Struthio camelus: one gene and its partner. The protein of the gene in region 1 interacts with the protein of each later gene in a pairwise test. Links are inferred from orthologs where the notes say so. Each region holds a gene or a part of one and is shown in the gene's direction. Other genes may lie near its edges.

Region 1 (8,976 bases):
CAAACCCTTAATGATACCTCAGATAATTGCTGCAGGTGTCATCTGAGATTCCCGTATGTGCGATAGCGTATACTTTGCCTCAGTGGGCCTGAGATGACTCTGTACCACCACGGCCGTTCAGGAGAGTCCCGCAGACTTCAGCAGTGCTGTCCGCTCTTTTATGCATGTGTCCTTAACACCGAGCAGGTTGGCACTCTCTGCCAGCACCGCTTGGTGCCCTGAGCAACAGCAGCGCCGTGCACAGAGGCCTCTGATGGCCGATGTACAAGCTTGAGGGGAAGAAAGAATAGCAATTCTTCCACAGGAGGCCACCAAAAACGTCCTCAGCTTCAAAAATCGGCTTTATTGTGCCACTAACAGACTTAGATGAACTGAAGATGACATGACACTTCTGCCTTCCCAATTTCTGAGTGCGAGATTTCAGCATGACTCACTTTTGCAAGCAGTAACAGCCAGCTGTACAGAGCGTATTTCTCTCTTAAGAGACAGACTTTTCATTCTTGTGGGACTACAGGCTGTCCTCGCACCACTGCTTTGGGAGAACCAAGTCTCACCAAGCTTACATTAGCTTCCGTACCGCGGTACAGGGTCGTCTCAGTACCCTGAAGTGCTGCCAACTGCCGGCATGGCACAGCTCACCATCTAACTTCAGAGATGGAGAAAGGGATAGTACCTAAACTTCTGTTTGGGTCATGCATTGCCTCTTGTGGACACCCGCATTTACGTAAACCTTCAAGGAGGTTGAACGGGCGCCTTGCCAAACATTATTCCTGATGGCAGGAGACCTTCCGGGCAGAGGGTTGGCGCCTGCTTTCCAGCTCACTGCCCGTTCGGAGAGGGCCTGAACACAGGAAGGAGCTAACTGAGCCGTAAGATCAACTTCATAAGTGCCTCTTTTAGGTGAGCGATGAATAACCAAAGGATTAGTCATTGCAGGATCGCTCTGTGCTTGTGACTGGATCAAGGGAGCTTGAACGGACCCTACCGTGTCCGAGCCTCTCCGGTGGGTGCGCTGTGCGTCAAGCTGCGTAACGCGACGCCCCTCGTCTTCCTGGCGCTGGTGTGTTTTGGGGCACAAACTCTCCATCTGCCTGATGGGACTGCCCAGTGCTCAGGCCAGGCCCCTACCGCTGCTGGTTGGGGCTAGTTTCCCCGCCAGCGCCGGGGTGCAAGAAAAACCTAGCTGTAACTGCGTCCCGCGACTGGCAAAACGAGGGGATGTGTTCAGTCCCGAACAGCGATAGCAAGTAAATGCCGTCTTCTGGATACGCTTGGAGAAAGAGGTGACCCTCCAAACGGGATAGCCAGGGTAATGTAGGCTTGTTAAATAGGCGACGTGCTTTTCCTGGAACAGAGGACTGTGGCGTCAACCTTTATAGTAATTTAAAAGCTACTGTGCTCTTTTTAGTGAGGCCAAACTGACTTTTAAAATTGTTAATTATCGCAAACCCAAGAATCTTTTCACTGTGTGTCACTGTCAGCTTCATTAGGAGTAAATGCCTCAGACACACCACTAGGGGGAGGATTTTATCTATATTTTAAGTTAGTACGGCACAGACGTTATGAAGCTGTATTTTGAGGATTTTTGAGGAAAGGGAAAGAGGGGTCTTTATTTCTTGTTACTGGAACACTAGATAAACTCTGCCTCCATTCCCAGAAGCTGTGCTTGAAATCAAAAGTTAACACTAACTGTAGGGGAGAAATCCAGGTGTTTTGCTTATGAAACAGTGTTCTGCAACCTAAAGACCTCAGTAGCTTACCAAAAAGTTAAATGAATTTTTGTGGTCTAATATAGCCTGCAAACCTCCCCTCCCCCTGAAACCACTGTTTTCTTTGGTCTTAGGGGTTTATTTGATTTTTTTTGGAGGAAGAAAACTGCTGACAGTTTGTACCTTTTCAGTTCTAGTACCATCTGAAATACTGCTTAGTACTACCACAACGCTTCGAACAACGTCAGAACTTAAATCGTCAGCAAGCTAAGCTGCAAACACATCGCTCTGGCTTTCTTTCTTCCAACCCGCAGCCTAAAAGTGCGTGGGAAGCTGGATGTCTTACTGGGATTTCTGGGTGTGAGCTGGCTCTGTTGCTGGCTTTGCCGAAGTCCCAGATAAGGTCAGGACGGCTAAAACGTCAAAGCTGAGTACGCTGCTTGGCTAAAGAGACGGCCTGCTATGCTCCTTCCAACCAGAGCGAGTCTACGATTCCATGATTTACATACAGACGATTAGCTTTTTATTAAAAAAAAAAAAAAAGATAAATCAACTTTTTTTTAGTGAACTGGAAATGGTTGGGAGTAGCAGAGGAGAAGAATGAAACATCTGTAACAATGCTCATACTCTGCGAGTAAGAATATGTAGTCTGCTTTCAGCACGCCTGTGAAAAATGAGTGTGGCCTTTTAAACTCCTGCAAAAGGAATGCAGTAGCATTGCGATAGAGTCACTCATAATACTTATTCCCAGTGTTTTGTCTTCCGAATGAAGCGCTCTTTGGATTGCAGATGTCCTATTGAGACAACAGCAACACTGAGTTTATCAGAGGATGTCAGCTATTTCAGCTGCAGTAAGATGTTCCTATATCTCGCTATGCCTCCAGGAAATTTCACAGCCAAGCAAAGCGATGATCGTGAATGCCGCTAACTCTAAAGGAGCGTGAGTGTCTGGGGATGCGCACGTGTTTTATTTTGGATCAGGACTGTGTTTACAGGGAAAAATCTCTTGATAGTCCTTGGCCTGTGCTTTGATGTGTACTGCGGAGCAGCCGCTGAGCACGTGAACTGGATTTCTTTCGGGTGAAACTGAACTCGAAGGTGTGCTCTAGCCTGCGCCAAACGCGCTCCGGCCACAAAAAGACGTTCAGTCCCTGGGCTTGGATGAAAGCTGGTCTGAAGTTACGACCCCCTGAGGCGCGTAGGGAGCGGGCGCCCGGTCCTCAGCCCCAGCCGCTTCGCCCCGCGGAGGTTGCGCCGCTTGCAAACGTGGACACAGCCGTAAGATACCAGAAGGAAAGTGAAGCGACTCAAAGGGTAGTCCTTGCGTTGGCCAGCCACAGCTGCACAGCGATAAGGGCCCTGCATACACGCGAAATACCCTAACTGGGGCTTCCTGCTCTCCCTGAAAAGCGTCTGTGTGAACATGCGGACGCGTTAGCCACAGCCTCTGACCTTTGCGGGTCGGGAGCCGGCTCTCCACGGCTGTGAAACTGCAGAAGACCCAGTAACTGGGCTACGAGAGCTAAACCTAAGAGCTGGCACTACCTCTGTGGGCTTGTTTCGCCCCGTCAACTTTCCCACAGCCGCTGCTGGGACTCATTGCACTGTCCACATTACAGACGCTGCCAACAGGTATGTAATCCTGCCATTAGTCGTCCGAGAGCAAAATATGGTCGTCATTCTGCTGGTAAGAACCGGCGGCTTGCCCGAGGTCAGGCAGGAAAAAGGTCATTGTTTCCTCTCATGGCAACTGTAAGCGGGTTGCTGCGTGTCTGGGCCTTTAAACCGAGGCGGACAAATTCAGGCCGCTGAAAACTGATGTCTATCGTCAGCTCCTAATCCTGCGTTCCACCTACCAGTAGAGGTTACGCCATTACCTTCTGGGGACGTGGCTTTTGAATCTAACCAAGCTGTTATTACTTTTTCTTCCCTCTGCCCTGGAACAGCTCAAACTGAGCGGGCAGCGACGGACGGAGCTAGCGAGAGGAAGGCCTTGCAGAGGTGCAGCCGGCGCCCGGCCGGCCGCGCATCCCCCCGACGGCAGCGTCGGCAGCGCTGCTCGCGGCCGCCAGCGCTCGCTCTCTGCCATAGATGGATGTGTGTGCGTGTGTGGGTGTGCGTGCATGTCTGCATATGCATATATACATATATATATTTGTATATACCAACACACACACACATAACTACACGCTTTGCATAGATGTGCACATCTATGCATTGTATGTATGCGCACGTATATATGTTTATGCAATGGATTACAAAGCTGTGCCTGCCACTCTTTCTGCTGTCTCCTTCCCTCACAATCACTTTTGAAAGAGACATGTTTTGTGTATATACATGGGTGCGTGTATTGTATGTACGTGCACACAGAGACGCACATGTATATATGTATACAGAAATACATATGCATGTGTTTGTATGCATATACAAAAAATATATATATAAAAATAAATCACAAATCTATGCCTGACACTCTTCTTGTCTCCTGTTACACTCACAATCTCTCTTGGAAAATATGTATATATGTGTTGTATATACACAGAGAGAGAGAGTGTTTTGTGTGTATATATATATATGCACACACATTTTGTATATACAGGTACGTTTATGTATATTTGTGCCTATACACCTATACCTCTACATCAGCAGTTACATGCACACATCTACATATGCACTTACGTCTTGCCCATGCGTGCACTTAGGCGCAGCAGACACGTATATATTTACCTGCACAGAGCTTATACGTTGCATGCACACGGCCACACGCACAGAGGTGCGCATACGCACTCCTGCATATCGGTTCTGCGTACGCACATATGTTCTGTAATATGCCCAAGCGTCCAAATAGATATAGATATACACACACGCGCCCATGGGAAAAAAAAATATAGAGATATATATATGTACACAAACACACAGGCACACGCACGCCTGCGCGCAGATGCAGCCACCCGTCCCGCTGCAAGCGCGCGGGCGCGCGCGTACGACACCGGCCCGCCCCGGCCCGCCGCCGGTGCGGGGGGGGAGGGGCGGTGCCATGGCAACGAACAGCCGCTGCCGCCGCCGGTGCGGGGGCGGGGCGGTGCCATGGCAACGAACGGCCGCTGCCGCCGCCGGTGCCGGGGGGGGTGCCATGGCAACGAACAGCCGCTGCCGCTGCCGCCGCCGGTGCGGGGGCGGGGCGGTGCCATGGCAACGAACGGCCGCTGCCGCCGCCGGTGCCGGGGGGGGGGGGGTGCCATGGCAACGAACGGCCGCTGCCGCCGGCGGCCGGGCCGGGCGCGGCGGCAGGTGAGTGCGGGGCGCGGCCATGGCGGCCAGCAGCGCGGCAGGGAGCGGGGAGAGGCCAGGCCCTGCTTGGTCCCCGCCGGCAGCAACGCCTTTTGCCGTTTGCAATCCGAAGTATTAAAGGGAGGAACGCCTCGTCTGCCAGCAGGCGTCTGGATGCGGGCCGCTGACGGCTGTGCCGCGTTCTCCTCGGAGCCTTCAAGCAGGGCCGGGGCGGGGGGGGCGGGGAGCAGCATGGCGGGCAGCCCGGCCTGGAAGCGGCGGTGCGGGAGGCTGGGCAAGCAAAGGGCGCCCGGGGTGGTGGGAGCGGAAGGGGCATCGTAATCAAGGCCGCAGGGCTGCAGCGGGTTCGCCCCAGGCGTACATGTGAAATTCAGGAGGCGCCTACAGGGCAGCATTACAGGGAGAGCTCTCCTGCTTGGCTACCTACTGTTTAACTTCGTTCATGACCTGGGTGGTGGGACTGAACGCACCCTCAGGTTTGCCGATGATACGCCTGAGGGCTGTGCTGCCGTTCAGAGGGCCCTCCATGCTGGAGAGATGCGCACGGAGGAACCTCATGGAGCTCAAGAAGGGGCAGTGCCAAATCCTGCCCCTGAGGAGGAACAAACCCCAACCCCCCCCCCCCGACCTGTCAGCTGGGGGCTGACAGTCTGGGAAACAGCTCTGCAGAGAAGAGCCTGGTGGACACCCAGTTGACCGTGAGCCAGCAACATGCCCTCGCAGCACACAAAGCCAACAGCCTCCTGGGCTGTGTTAGGCAGAGTGTTGCCAGCAGGTCAAGGGGGGTGATCTCTCTCCTCTACTCAGCACTGGTGAGGCCACACCTGGAGTGCTGGGTCCATTGCTAGGCTCCCCAGTAGAAGAGAGCATGGACATACTGGAGCAAGACCAGCGAAGAGCCACAAAGATGTTTAAGGGACTGGAGCATCTTTCGTATAAACAAGAGGCTGAGAGAGCTGGGCCTGTTGAGCTTGGAGAAGAGGAGGCTCGGGGGGATCAGATCAATATGTATAAATATCTGATGGGAAGATCTGAAGGGGGAGTGTCAAGAGGATGAGGCCAATCTCTTCTCCGTGGTGCCCAGCAACAGGACAAGAGGCAACGGGCACAAACTGAACCACAGGAAGTTCCCTCTGAACCTGAGGAAAAACTTCTTCACTGTGAGGGTGACAGAGCATTGGACCAGGTTGCCCAGAGAGGTAGTGGAGTCTCCTTCGCTGGAGATCTTCAAAACCCGTCTGGATGTGATCCTGGGCAATATGCTCTAGGTGACCCTGCTTGAGCAGGGAGGTTGGAGTAGATGATCTCCAGAGGTCCCTTCCAACCTAAACGATTCTGTATGTAAAAAGGATGGAGCCAGACTCCTCTCAGTGGTGCCTAGTAACAGAACAAGAGAGTTTGGGCACAAATTAAACAAAGGAAATTTCATCTGAACCTAAGAAGACACCTGTTTACTGTGAGGGTGGTCAAATACTGGATGGAACAGGTTGCCCAGAGAGGCTGTGGAGTCTCCATGCTTGGAGATATTCAAAACCCAACTGGACACGGCCCTGGGCAACCTGCTCTATGTTGTCCTGCTTGAGCAGGGGTTCTGGATTAAACTGTCTACAGAGGTCTCTTCTGTTATATAATATAAACAGATTATAACATATAATAACAGATAATATTCTGTTATTTTGTGATCCTTGTCAATGCCTGTGTCATGTAGGAGTGAAAACTTCACACTGGCTTTCAGTTGCGTTTGGAAATAGCATTTTATTCCTACAGAGCTGTCCGTTTTTTCCATTCCCCTCTTGTCAGTTGCTGAGTCTTAATCACTTTGTGAGAAATACTCCATATGTCAAACAATGACTACCTGGAGCAATATTTTTATAATCAGCTTCCATTTTTCTTCTTGTTGATCTTGTTTTGCATTAAGTTCTTATTACTTGGAAATACTCATGTCAGCTGTGGTCCGTCCAGCCATAAATCATCTCTGCCACCTTTAGCGGAGTGGTTTCTGAAAACAGGAAAGCCTGAGAGGCTTTGCAGAAATTACGTACTGTCGCCGCTGGTAGTAAATATTACAGTGGGGAAAAGGAAGACTGAAAGACAAATCTAAAATATATGATGATAAATCTCTAGCCTATCATTGTGTTGTTTATTCAGGATGTCTTGCCATCAAACTGAAAATGTCATAAAGAAAATCATTCGTGAAATAGGACAAGAATGTGCCAGCAAAGGACAAACTGTTTCTGAAACCTTGGTAGCTTTCATGGTAAGAATAAATTAAATGTTTTATTTATTTTTTGTTATTTCATCTGATTTTTTTTCCAGTAATGCTCATATTTTCTTATGGTCAATAAAATATTAACAAATAAATATATTCTAATAATGGAGCATGTGGATCAGAATTTTCAAACCTGGGTGCTTCTAGCTTGGCGGTCCAAACCTGTTTCTAAGGCTTTCATGGTGTAAAGACTTAATTTTACACAGTATGAATAGTTCCCCTTGAAGTCAGTGAGACTGTTCAGAATGAATGCTGTGAAGCAAGGACATAAATCATTCCTTTGGTGTTAAAAATCAATAAACTTCAAATGTCAAGTTCCTGTCACAGTGCCAAAGCTGGGATAGCTACAGCTGAGACTTTCAGGAGTGATTTAAATTTTGAAATATCTCACTTTCTGATTGCCCAAGTTGAGAAGTTTTAAAGGGTCATTCATTGATATTCAGTATGGGGTCCTAAAAACCTAAGAAAGCATCTCATTCCTCTGAAATGCTTTGTATGTGACTGTAAGGCCCTGGAAAGACTGTCAGTCATGAGTCTTTGCAATTCTTTAAACTCAGAATGAGAGTTCTCTCTCATTTTTCTTCTGTAGGCTGATAAACCATTTTTGTTTTTTTTTGAAAAGGAAACAATCTCATTGTTATCCTTGGAAGACAACTGTATGAATGCTAAAAACTTTATACCCTTTGGCATCTGTTCTTATGAAACACTTTGCAGAGCGTTGCAGAATATAGTCTAAATACATCCACAAACTTTTTGTGTAGAAAGATGGAGCTTCTTTCTTTAGGGATGTCTTAAGAACGCAATTGATAAGCTCTTGATAAGCTTTTATAGGAGCGTAAATGGTTCACAGCAGTATTGTTAGTCTGTCTTTTTTTTTCCTAGATGAAGAAGATAGTCTGGCTTTAGAAAATATGCTGGGCTCAGAAGTAGTATTAATTAAGCATGAAAAATGCTACGAGTGAAAAACTTTCTCATGTGGCTGGCAAAATACCTCCAAGCATGCAAATATTTCCTTATATGCAAAAACACTATGAAATTTTTATCTAAATAGTATTTTTTTAAATGTGCATGTGTAGTGGTGCATACAATACCAACCTGGAAGTGTGTAAACAAGCATGACTGATTTTTATAAAATTTTACTTAGAAAAACATTTTTCCAGGAAACTTGTAAAGGAGCTATATTTAAATATTTCTCTGCAGTGTTTGCATCCCAAGTAGTTAGGTTTTCTTTCCACTTATGTCAGAGTGGAAAATTTGAAATCTGGCAACAGATGAAATGCAGTAATTTTGTTTCATTATCGAAGATTGACATGGAAAAAAGAATAGTAAAGATAATATCTGCTTTTAAAAATTTAGTCAAGTAATTATTTGCACAATTGAATAATCTGAAGTATATGAGTAATCTTCCGGATGGGAAAATTTGTAACTTTCCACTATTTCTTTTAAACCATAGCTCTGTCACAGTTCCTTATGTTCAATAAATGTATAAAGAAATTCTTATGCATTGCACTCTCCAGCTGTTGTTCCCAGTCATTGTAAACCGTTGTTCCTACAAACCTATTCGCTCCCTCCGAAAGTCTCATGAATATGTGTCACTCTAGCTTGCAGTAAAGAAGAGTGATTACAGGAACGTGAACTGTTCATAATTCACAAGGGTAACTGAAATAAAAATGGGAAGAATTTGTTTCAATTGTTTCTTTTTAAGCT
Region 2 (9,163 bases), on another chromosome or scaffold:
AACTATTTGCAACTGTCAAATGGAAATATTAAGAGAGATTTTCTTTCAAGTTGGTTATTACTTTTTCAAAAGAGTAGAAGAAACTCAACAGAATCCAGAAGAAAACAGATATAACGTGCTTAAGTCTGCACAATCAGTCAGAATACTACAGAAGGAGCTGGGAATCAACAGTGTCTTAATCCTCCCATTTTATTTCTTCTTCAAAGATAATGGATGTTTCTTTAAAGTGTTTAGGATTTCTGAATTCAATAATTATGAAATGAAAAACCAAGTAACACTCTAGCTAAAATGCCACACGCTAATCATATTAACATCTGTACAATTCAAGAGGAAGCTGCTGAACGTACATCAATGAAATTATTACAGTAAGAATAGAAAAGACGGCCAGGGCTGCTGGGTAGGCAAGACGTGGCTTAGCAAATGATGTGATTTGGTTTGTACCTAGAACAACACGACCTCAAAAGAGTCTTACCTGAAGTCTATCCTGTGCTTGTACTGGTGTCAAACCACTTCGTTGTACAAGCATCCAAAACACTGTATTGTAAAGGTTATTAATATGGCCTACAGAAAAAGAAGGAAAGAGCATTTACCAAATCTGAGCGACTACTCAGAAAAAAGCAACTTCATTGCCAGAGTCACGTACAGGAAATACTCAGTAATAAATGGTCATTAATAATATCAGTATCTGCAGAAGCTATATCTTTCTGATCCATTTTTAAGGTACTGTATATCATAAGAACCACCAGAAGATTGCTGTCATGATACTTCACAAGTGGGAAAGGGAGAACAGAGAGAGAAGGGTGTTTATGAATAATTGACCAACAAGGACTAGCTACTAACGGAAGTCTAGAAATGAAGCCCAACAGCATGGAATATACAGTGCTCTTGACTGCTATGATTTTGCTACATGGTGAAGTTTAATTCAAACAGTCACATCTCTCGGTTAAAGAGGATAATATTGGTTAAATAAACACAACAACAACAAATGAATTCTATTAATAATTCTAGTATTTCCAGTACCAAATTCACTCCCAGCGTGTAATGAATATAATCTGAGGTCTCAGAACTTTAGCCTTCATTTTTGCTTCCACACAAATCCTAGCACAATTTTAACAGTTTATTTAAAACTATGCCTTCCCCTACCTGATGTTCTTTCACTGGTAACATACATGCATACACTTGCAGTAAGGGCATTCGTATTCAGAAAGAAGAACTCAACTGTGTAAATCTACTTTTTTTAAAAAAATGCTTACAATCTGCTTGTCTCCAACTGAGGTAGTCCTTTAAGTTTTGGTTGCTGGGATACAACACAATTCGTCCATCAAAACCTGGTGGATACAGAAGTTGCTGATCCTTAAAGTAATCCTTCCAATAGAAAACGTAACTTGAGGCAAACTGGGAGACCACGTGAGTCATGAACTTACTTGCAAACACAAAGCAAACAGAAAAAGAAAGCAATATATCAATGTGATTATACATATTGGTGATTATCTGGGCTATCAATAACAATAATTTGGGGGGGGGCAGAATTTCTTAAATAACGGTGCACAGATCAGCAATAGCATAGAGTCTTTTGAAGACTAAGAAGTACTGAGAATCACATAAGAGTTTGGAAGGGGAATCATTTTGTTAAAAGAAGTTGTGTTTAATCAAAACTTTTAAAAAATCCTTTATCACTGAACATATATTCTAGGGAGATCACACGCAAAGAGTTCACATGAAGAACCTGAGAGCTAGTTTACAGTGGATACACCCAAATACAGTCCTATACAGAACCTATACATATAGATGAAAGCAAATCTAAGGAAAATCAACAAATTCCAAATTTAGAGAGAAGTATTAAAAGTGAATACACTTCTTGGTATCAAAGCAGCTGATACCTTGCTCTTCTTTTAAACCATCTACTGTTCTTTTTGAAAACAAAACTGTATTCATCGCTTTGTCCATAAGCGATAGCAATATCTTCCAGTTCTTGCATCACTGTCTGGGCACACTTGGTCATCAGATGAAGAGCACGGTCATCATTTGGCTTTTTGAACTCATGTTGCTCAGCAAACCTTCAAAGCAAAAATGGTTGAACAAGAATCCTTTAAAAAGCTACTCAAAAATGCTAACCCATTAATTTTCATCACATTTACTTTCTATGAATATTGACTTCCAGTATCCTGTCAATACTGACAGAGAATTCCCTCCAGGTATGAACAACAGTAACAATAAACCGTGGTTATATATCCCAGATAACCCATTCTCTTTCCCATCAGTATCTTATCCTAACTATATAATAGTCTTTCAAAACAACTGCTTTCCCTATTTTACTTGGAATAAGAAGATAACAAATAACATTTTCTGTAACCTCACTTTGCACCAGGGTGCCTCTTATACTCTGTCCAACAAAGGCAACATTTAGTCAATTGTCAAAACTCAAGAGCTTTACCAGAACCAGACTTCACCAAACCACCATCTGGAAGAACAACTTTCAGAGATCAAAACCCCAGCAAGAATATGGCCCATCCGCCACTCAAGAGAACCATGACCCATTGATCCTGAAGAAAGCTGAATCTCACAGAGATCATTTCCACACACAAATAAATACTCCTGTTTACCAGTTGCAGTCCTTCCCACAACCCATCCAAGCCACTGTTATACTATTTCTGTTATACCCTATCGTCCCATAGATGCCACACTTCTTAAGCTGTATATGGCCCAGAAAGACAAATACCAGTCTCACAGAATCACAGAATGACCAAGGTTGGAAGGGACTTCTGGAGATCATCTAGTCCAACCCCTTGCTCAAGCAAGGTCATCTAGAGCACATTGCACAGGATCGCATCCAGGCGGCTTTTGAATATCTCCAAAGAAGGAGACTCCACAGCCTCTCTGGGCAACCTGTTCCAGTGCTCAGTCACCCTCACAGGAAAGAAGTTTCTCCTCATGTTCAGATGGAACTTCCTGTGTTTCAGTTTGCGCCCGTTGCCTCTTGTCCTGTTGCTGGGCACCACGGAGAAGAGGCTGGCCCCATCCTCTTGTTACCTTCGCTTTAAATATTTGTTTACATTGATGAGATCCTCCCTCAGTCTTCTCTTCTCCAGGCTGAACAGGCCCAGCTCTCTCAGCCTTTCTTCAGAGGAGAGATGCTCCAGTCCCTTCATCATCTTTGCAGCCCTCCACTGGACTCTCTCCAGTAGCGTTATGTCTCTCCTGCACTAGGGAGCCCAGAAGTGAGCACAGTACTCCAGATGTGGCCTCACCAGGGCTGAGTAGAGGCGGAGGATCACCTGCCTTGACCTGCTAGCAACACTCTTCCTAATTCAGTAGTAAGGAGACACTCTGAAGAGGGTGAAAGGATTTCTGAGGACTAACCACTGCCCCTACTGAATTCACACAGCTCAAGCAGGGAAGCCACGCTTCAGGAACCCATAGCCAGTCACATGATATCAGTCAAGATGTCGAGAATCCATGTTCTTGGCCCTGGAGCCAACACCTCGCTCTGCACTGCGCCCTGGGGCCCAGCACCCTTCTGCGCACTGCCTCCAGCCCCAGGCTGCCAGGCTAACCTCGGCACACAGCACCCCGCTCTGCACCGCACCCTGGGGCCCAGCACCCTTCTGCGCACTGCCTTCAGCCCCAGGCTGCCAGGCTAACCTCGGCACACAGCACCCCGCTCTGCACCGCGCCCTGGGGCCCAGCACCCCCCACACCACGGCAGCACGCCGGGGAGCCCGCCCAACCCCGGGGCCCAGCATCTCGGCGCCGTGTCCCCACCTCCCGGGCCCATTAGGAGGAACCTTCCCCCCTCCCCGCCCCAATACGCACCCTAGACCCCTTCTCCTCCCCGCCCGTTGGTCGAGGCGTCGCCATGGCAACCGCGCTGCTACAAACAGCGCGGCCATTGGCTGCCTGCCCAGCCCCTACCGGTGGAAGTTGCGGCCGTCTAGCCGGACCACTATCCAGCAGTTGGGCAGGCATGTGTCGTCCGTCTCGAAGTCCCGCACGTACTCGAACTTGCTCTTCGCCATGGGGAGGCGGCGGCCGCACAGCCACCTCACGCACCTCCCGCCCGCAGTACAGATGGCCGCTGCGGCCCGCCAGCTCCGTAGCATGGCCGGAACGGAAGCGGAAGTGGCCCCCCCTCCGAGGACGCAGCAAGGAGCCCTTCTGGGCCGCGAGGCGGACCTCTCCATGGCTTCGAGGCTCCCCCAGCCCGTGGGGCCGCTGTGCCGAGGCGGGGCTCGGTGCCGCGAGGACCGGGGGCCGCCAGGTCTCCGCGCCGGCCACGCGCGGTGTTGACGGGGAGGGTGTAGGCAGGAGGGGCTCGCAACCCTCCGCTGTCCCGGGGCTGCCGTGCCGGTAGCGGGGAAGGGATGGCCGAGGGGAGCGGGGCCGAGGCGACCCCCAATTTGGGGTGGGGGGCGCGGCGAAGCGCCCGGCGCCTCAGCGAGCCCGGAGGGAGCGGCCTTAGGGGAGAAGCACCCGGCGGCGCCGCCAACGGTCTCCACGGCGACCGCATTGTGAGGCGGGCGGCGGGGGGAGGGGGGAGAAGCGGCGCGCGCGGCCATTGGTGCGCTCGGGGCGGGCGGCGCGCGGCCATTGGCGGGCGGCGGGGGCGGGAGGGCGTTGCGAGCGTTTGCGCACCAACCGCAAGCGGCAAACGGCCGCGGCGTCATGGCCATGGAGCGGGGGGCGGCGGGCGGCGCGGCCCGCCCTCAGTGCCGCCAGCGCCCCCTGCCGCCCGCCTGCTTCGGCGCCGCCCGCCCGCCGCCGCCGCCGCCGCCTCCGCTCCGCGCCGGGCCCCGCCGGGAGCCGCCGCGGCAGCCGGAGGCGGCGGCGGCAGCGGCGGCGGCGGCCGAGGGGCCCCTCCAGGTGCTGCACATCAAAGTGGAGGAGCCCGAGCCGGAGGAGGCGGCCTGCGGCGGCAGGAAGAGGGGCGAGCCGAGGTGCCTCGCAGCCCTGTGGGGATGCGGGCAGGAGGCCCCAGACGCCATCGCGGCGGGAGGGGACCGGGAAGGCCCCAAAGAGCTGAAGGTGCCCGAGGACAGGGGCAATGGGACGGTGCCGGGGCTTGGGCCAGCAGGTGCCGTCAAGGTGGAGCCAGCCGAGGCGGCCCCCGGGGCCGGCGGCCTGGAGGAAGAGGAGGCCGAGGCCGAGGCAGCGGGACCCCAGAGCGGGGTCGCCCAGCCCAGCAGCGATGGCAGCCTGGCTCCGCCGGCCGGAGCCTTCGCCATGCACCCTGCGGATCTGACGGTCCCGCTGATGCTGCACCCCTTGCCTTCTGCGACCAGAATTCAGCTTCAAGGCCCTCCGCCTTCCCAGCTGATCCATGTGGCTAAAGTGCCAGTGACCCAAGTGCCTCTAAAAATGCAGTCTTTACTGGAGCCGTCAGTAAAAATTGAAACTAAAAACGTGCCCCTCACAGTGCTGCCCTCCGATGCAGGTATTACATTGTAAGACAGCTTAGAGTTTGCAAGGTTTCAGTAAGTGGCACACAGTTGGCAGGTTTTTTCAGGTTGGAGAACACAAGTTAAAATAGTGGATACACTGTTGTTTGTACAACTCTTTTGTTCAGCTAAAGGTGTAAACATACAGCAGCACAAAGTTCTCTAGTGGTTCACTAAAATCAATACAGTTTTGTCTGCTTGCTCTCCGTCTATTTTAAACAGAATTGCAGTGAATAGTGGTTTCAAGTTCAGTTTAGGTATCTGCTTGATTTTTCAATCTATGAGCATTCAAACACCTCTCACTGAGAAAATTCGAAGACGTTAAGTGAGGAACACTTAAATATCTGGATTAGTTTTTTTTTTTTTTTTTAGAGAGAAACATAGGCTTTTAAAATTAACTTGAAGTCCTAAAGCCTAATAAACTTGCCCTTTATTGACCACGTAGAAGAGTTCTGTTCTAAGTTTTTTTCTCATAGAGGAAGCTGCTTTCTTAAAGTTCAATTGTGAAAGGTATGCGGTTTATTTCACCAGCTCAATTCAAATACAGTCTTTGGTTCTAAGGACCTAAAGCTGGGAGTCTTGTAACAGTCATCTGATGAAACAGGTTCCTCTAGCAAATGGGCATCTAAATCTGAGAAAAGAGGGGAAAAAAGAGGGAGAAAAAAAAAAACAGCAGCAACAACCTCAGAGAAGTTGCAAATATGTGGGACTAAACTGCCATCCCATCATCAGATCTGGTCCTTGAATCATTAGGGTTTGGATGCATAGTTGGGGTGGTGATCATGAATTTGCAGTGATACGGTCTATGCTATATTATGTTTAATTTATAAATACACAGGTATTATAGAAAGCAGTCTAGCCAAATGAAATCCAAACCAGTGTGTTTTTAACAGTCATTTCTGTTTCATACAGAAAAGAAAGGCTATGTGACAAAAGTCACGTAAACAATTCCTTATGTAGTATTTCAGTGGAGGCTAGTCAGTGATGCTGTTAGCCTTAGTTATTTTTCTAAGAACTGTTCTCCAAATGTGCATTGAGTTTTGTGTGTTCTGAAGCTCTGATGATTCTTCTGAATATTGCTAAATACCTTCTGGAAATACTATTGAACGTAACCTATATTGTGTATATTGCCTGGCAGATGATCTTCTTTCCTCATTTTGTTGCATAGGGATACCAGATACTCCATTTAGCAAGGACAAAAGTGGCCATGTAAAGCGTCCAATGAACGCATTCATGGTATGGGCTAGGATTCATCGGCCAGCTCTAGCCAAAGCTAACCCAACTGCCAATAATGCAGAAATCAGTGTTCAGCTTGGACTGGAGTGGAACAAGCTGACTGAAGAGCAGAAGAAGCCCTATTATGACGAAGCTCAGAAAATAAAAGAAAAGCACAGAGAAGAATTTCCTGGTAAACATATATTTATTTACCCAAATCCTTTAGAAGGGCAAGATTTATGGGGGAAAAAAAAAAGATCTCTTTCATTAGAGCAAATATTAGAGTTGGAAGAAATGGTAGACTTTCAAGTATTTGGTCCTTTTGTCAGATTCCTAGTACCTGAAAGCATATTCATTTTTTTTATAGTTATCCATAAATGATGTTTCATTCTCCGTAGCCTCTGAATTCCTTACGTTCTTAGACTACCACATGTATAGTAGCTCTTCTCAATGCTTTATAAGTCTAATGGCCAGATGCACAGTTTATTGTGAACGTGGCCTGTTAAAACGTTTCGCAGGCTCCAGAAGGAGCTGTCCAGGTGGCTTGTGGTGACACATGCATCCACTCCTGTAAAAGTAGGAGAGGGAAATGCCACAGGAAGCACAAATGGCATTGTGTATTGTGGGACTCTTCAACTTGTGGCATTGGGATTCCCGAGTCAAGGTGCGGAACATGGTCTCAGCCTTTTGTCAAAGGTTTAGGGATTTGCTCCCTTAACAGATTTGTTTCTCTGTAACACTGCAGTTCAATTAAAAAGGCGCTAAGAAAACAGAGCAGAATTTTTTTGAACACTCTTTATAGAAGCTACTGAAACATCACGTGTCATAATCCTTTCTGTCTGTGATGTCATAAATTTGCTAGTTCACAATCATTTGCTAGTTCAGGTCTTGTCAGGTAGACAAGACCTGACTAATACATCATAAACAAGCATAAGATAAAGAGCAGAATCTTCCTTCTGTCTTTTCACCCTTCAAAAAAAAGGGTTTCTTTAAAGTAGCATAAGAGTTAGCCTGCCCAAGAAAACCAAGCTGCTCAGTCCAAATTCCAAAAATATTTCTAAGTCTGTTAAGTGTTTGGTTAGTGTTGTAACTCAAAGGCAAGCGAACTCCTTACTGCCAAAGCGTAAACAGGATTTCTAGCGGATCATATTTTTCATCATATCTTTTAACCTCCAGGTATATGTGAGGTTTAAGGGGATAAGGAAACAATTAGGGAAGATCCACATTTTGTATGCCGTTTGTTTTTTCCAGACCAAAACTCCATGGTACAGCATCATATTCTCCTTTACATGCTTTCCTTAGCTGTGCCATTTCACTCCCCACTGTTTTGTGGTTCTTTGTCTCACAAACATTTTTGAATGGTAACTACACTGGTAACATAACTGAATTGGTAACCTAAGAACGCCCAAACATGCTCGTTTTAACTCCACCTCTGATAAAATGCCCTTTTGCCCACCCACTGAAATGAATGAGAGTTTTGCCATTGACTATTGGAGCAGTTTTTGGACTCATACTTTTTTAGATACTTCAGAATTACAGATATTTTAGCTTTACAGAAAGAAAGAGATCATCCCAAAAATGAGAAGTCTGCATCTTTTTCATCTCTGACAGGTTGGGTTTATCAACCGCGACCGGGCAAAAGGAAGCGTTTTCCATTGACTGTCTCCACTGTATTTTCCGGCACTTCTCAGAATATCATCACTACAAATCCAGCAGCCATTTATCCCTTCCGATCACCCGCTTACTCCGTTGTCATCCCCAATGTTCAGAACAGTATTGGACATCCTGTCTGTGAGTTTTTAGTAGTCTGAGTGAATGATTTTAAAAATTAAGAATCTACCTATCATAGTAAAAGTTATACACATTGTAGTGTAGATATAGTTAAGATACGGCTTCTCAGTCTTTTTGGACACCACTGTGTCTGTCAATCCTCCTCGACACTGCACTGCTCTTAGTCTCTTCCCTCCTACTTCCTCAGCCTTCTCTCCCTTTACTGCCCTTAAATTCTTCTGGCTACCTCTTTACTCTCCTACAGACCCCTGCTATTGTCTTCCTATCTCCTGGTTCCCTCCTGCTATCTTTCTGCCTTTTGGGGGTCTCTGTTACTTAGTACTTGCCTCCTATTAAGCTACAGCTATCTCTCTCTCTGTTTTTTCTTTCTTATTCTGTCTCCATCACAGACATATCTTACCCCACCAGATCTAACTGCTGCTCAACCCACACTACTAAGCCTGACGAAGCTTATTAGCTTAGCCCTGGCACCTCTCCAGTCCTGTGTTGGTGTGCCTTTCTAGTGAGGGCACCGTTGCTTTAGAACAAACGCTCGGCAGCTTAGACTGCTCACAGGAGAGGGCAGACAGAGTTGTCAACAAAGGCATCAGAAAGGAGGATGTTAAGTAGGGAGGATGTGGGCTACAATTTTAAAGTGGTCTGTAAAACTGGAAGAGGAATTTTTCACTTGCACTTTTTTTCACGAACAGTTATTTAAATATTTGTGCCCATAGTTCTATATG

What was found.
Region 2: the proteins of CFAP206 (region 1) and SOX30 interact in binary tests that used the Homo sapiens proteins (3 or more experiments, as listed by UniProt). The two-hybrid records come from large-scale screens. The link is inferred for Struthio camelus from reciprocal best matches to the Homo sapiens genes CFAP206 and SOX30.

What each region holds. Positions count from the first base shown.
Region 1 is NC_090944.1:49,190,358-49,199,333, forward strand, and holds the start of CFAP206 (cilia- and flagella-associated protein 206), read left to right. Parts: upstream 1-4,850; 5' UTR 4,851-4,944; exon of another isoform or gene 4,945-5,000; intron 5,001-7,148; 5' UTR 7,149-7,149; coding exon 7,150-7,257; intron 7,258-8,976. UniProt on the Homo sapiens protein: Essential for sperm motility and is involved in the regulation of the beating frequency of motile cilia on the epithelial cells of the respiratory tract. Required for the establishment of radial spokes in sperm flagella.
Region 2 is NC_090954.1:11,107,740-11,116,902, forward strand, and holds the start of SOX30 (transcription factor SOX-30), read left to right. Parts: upstream 1-5,076; 5' UTR 5,077-5,220; coding exon 5,221-5,431; intron 5,432-6,603; coding exon 6,604-6,843; intron 6,844-8,261; coding exon 8,262-8,441; intron 8,442-9,163. Other genes in the region: THG1L (probable tRNA(His) guanylyltransferase), read right to left, coding at 473-561, 1,254-1,423, 1,881-2,057, 3,913-4,181. UniProt on the Homo sapiens protein: Acts both as a transcriptional activator and a repressor. Binds to the DNA sequence 5'-ACAAT-3' and shows a preference for guanine residues surrounding this core motif. Binds to its own promoter and activates its own transcription.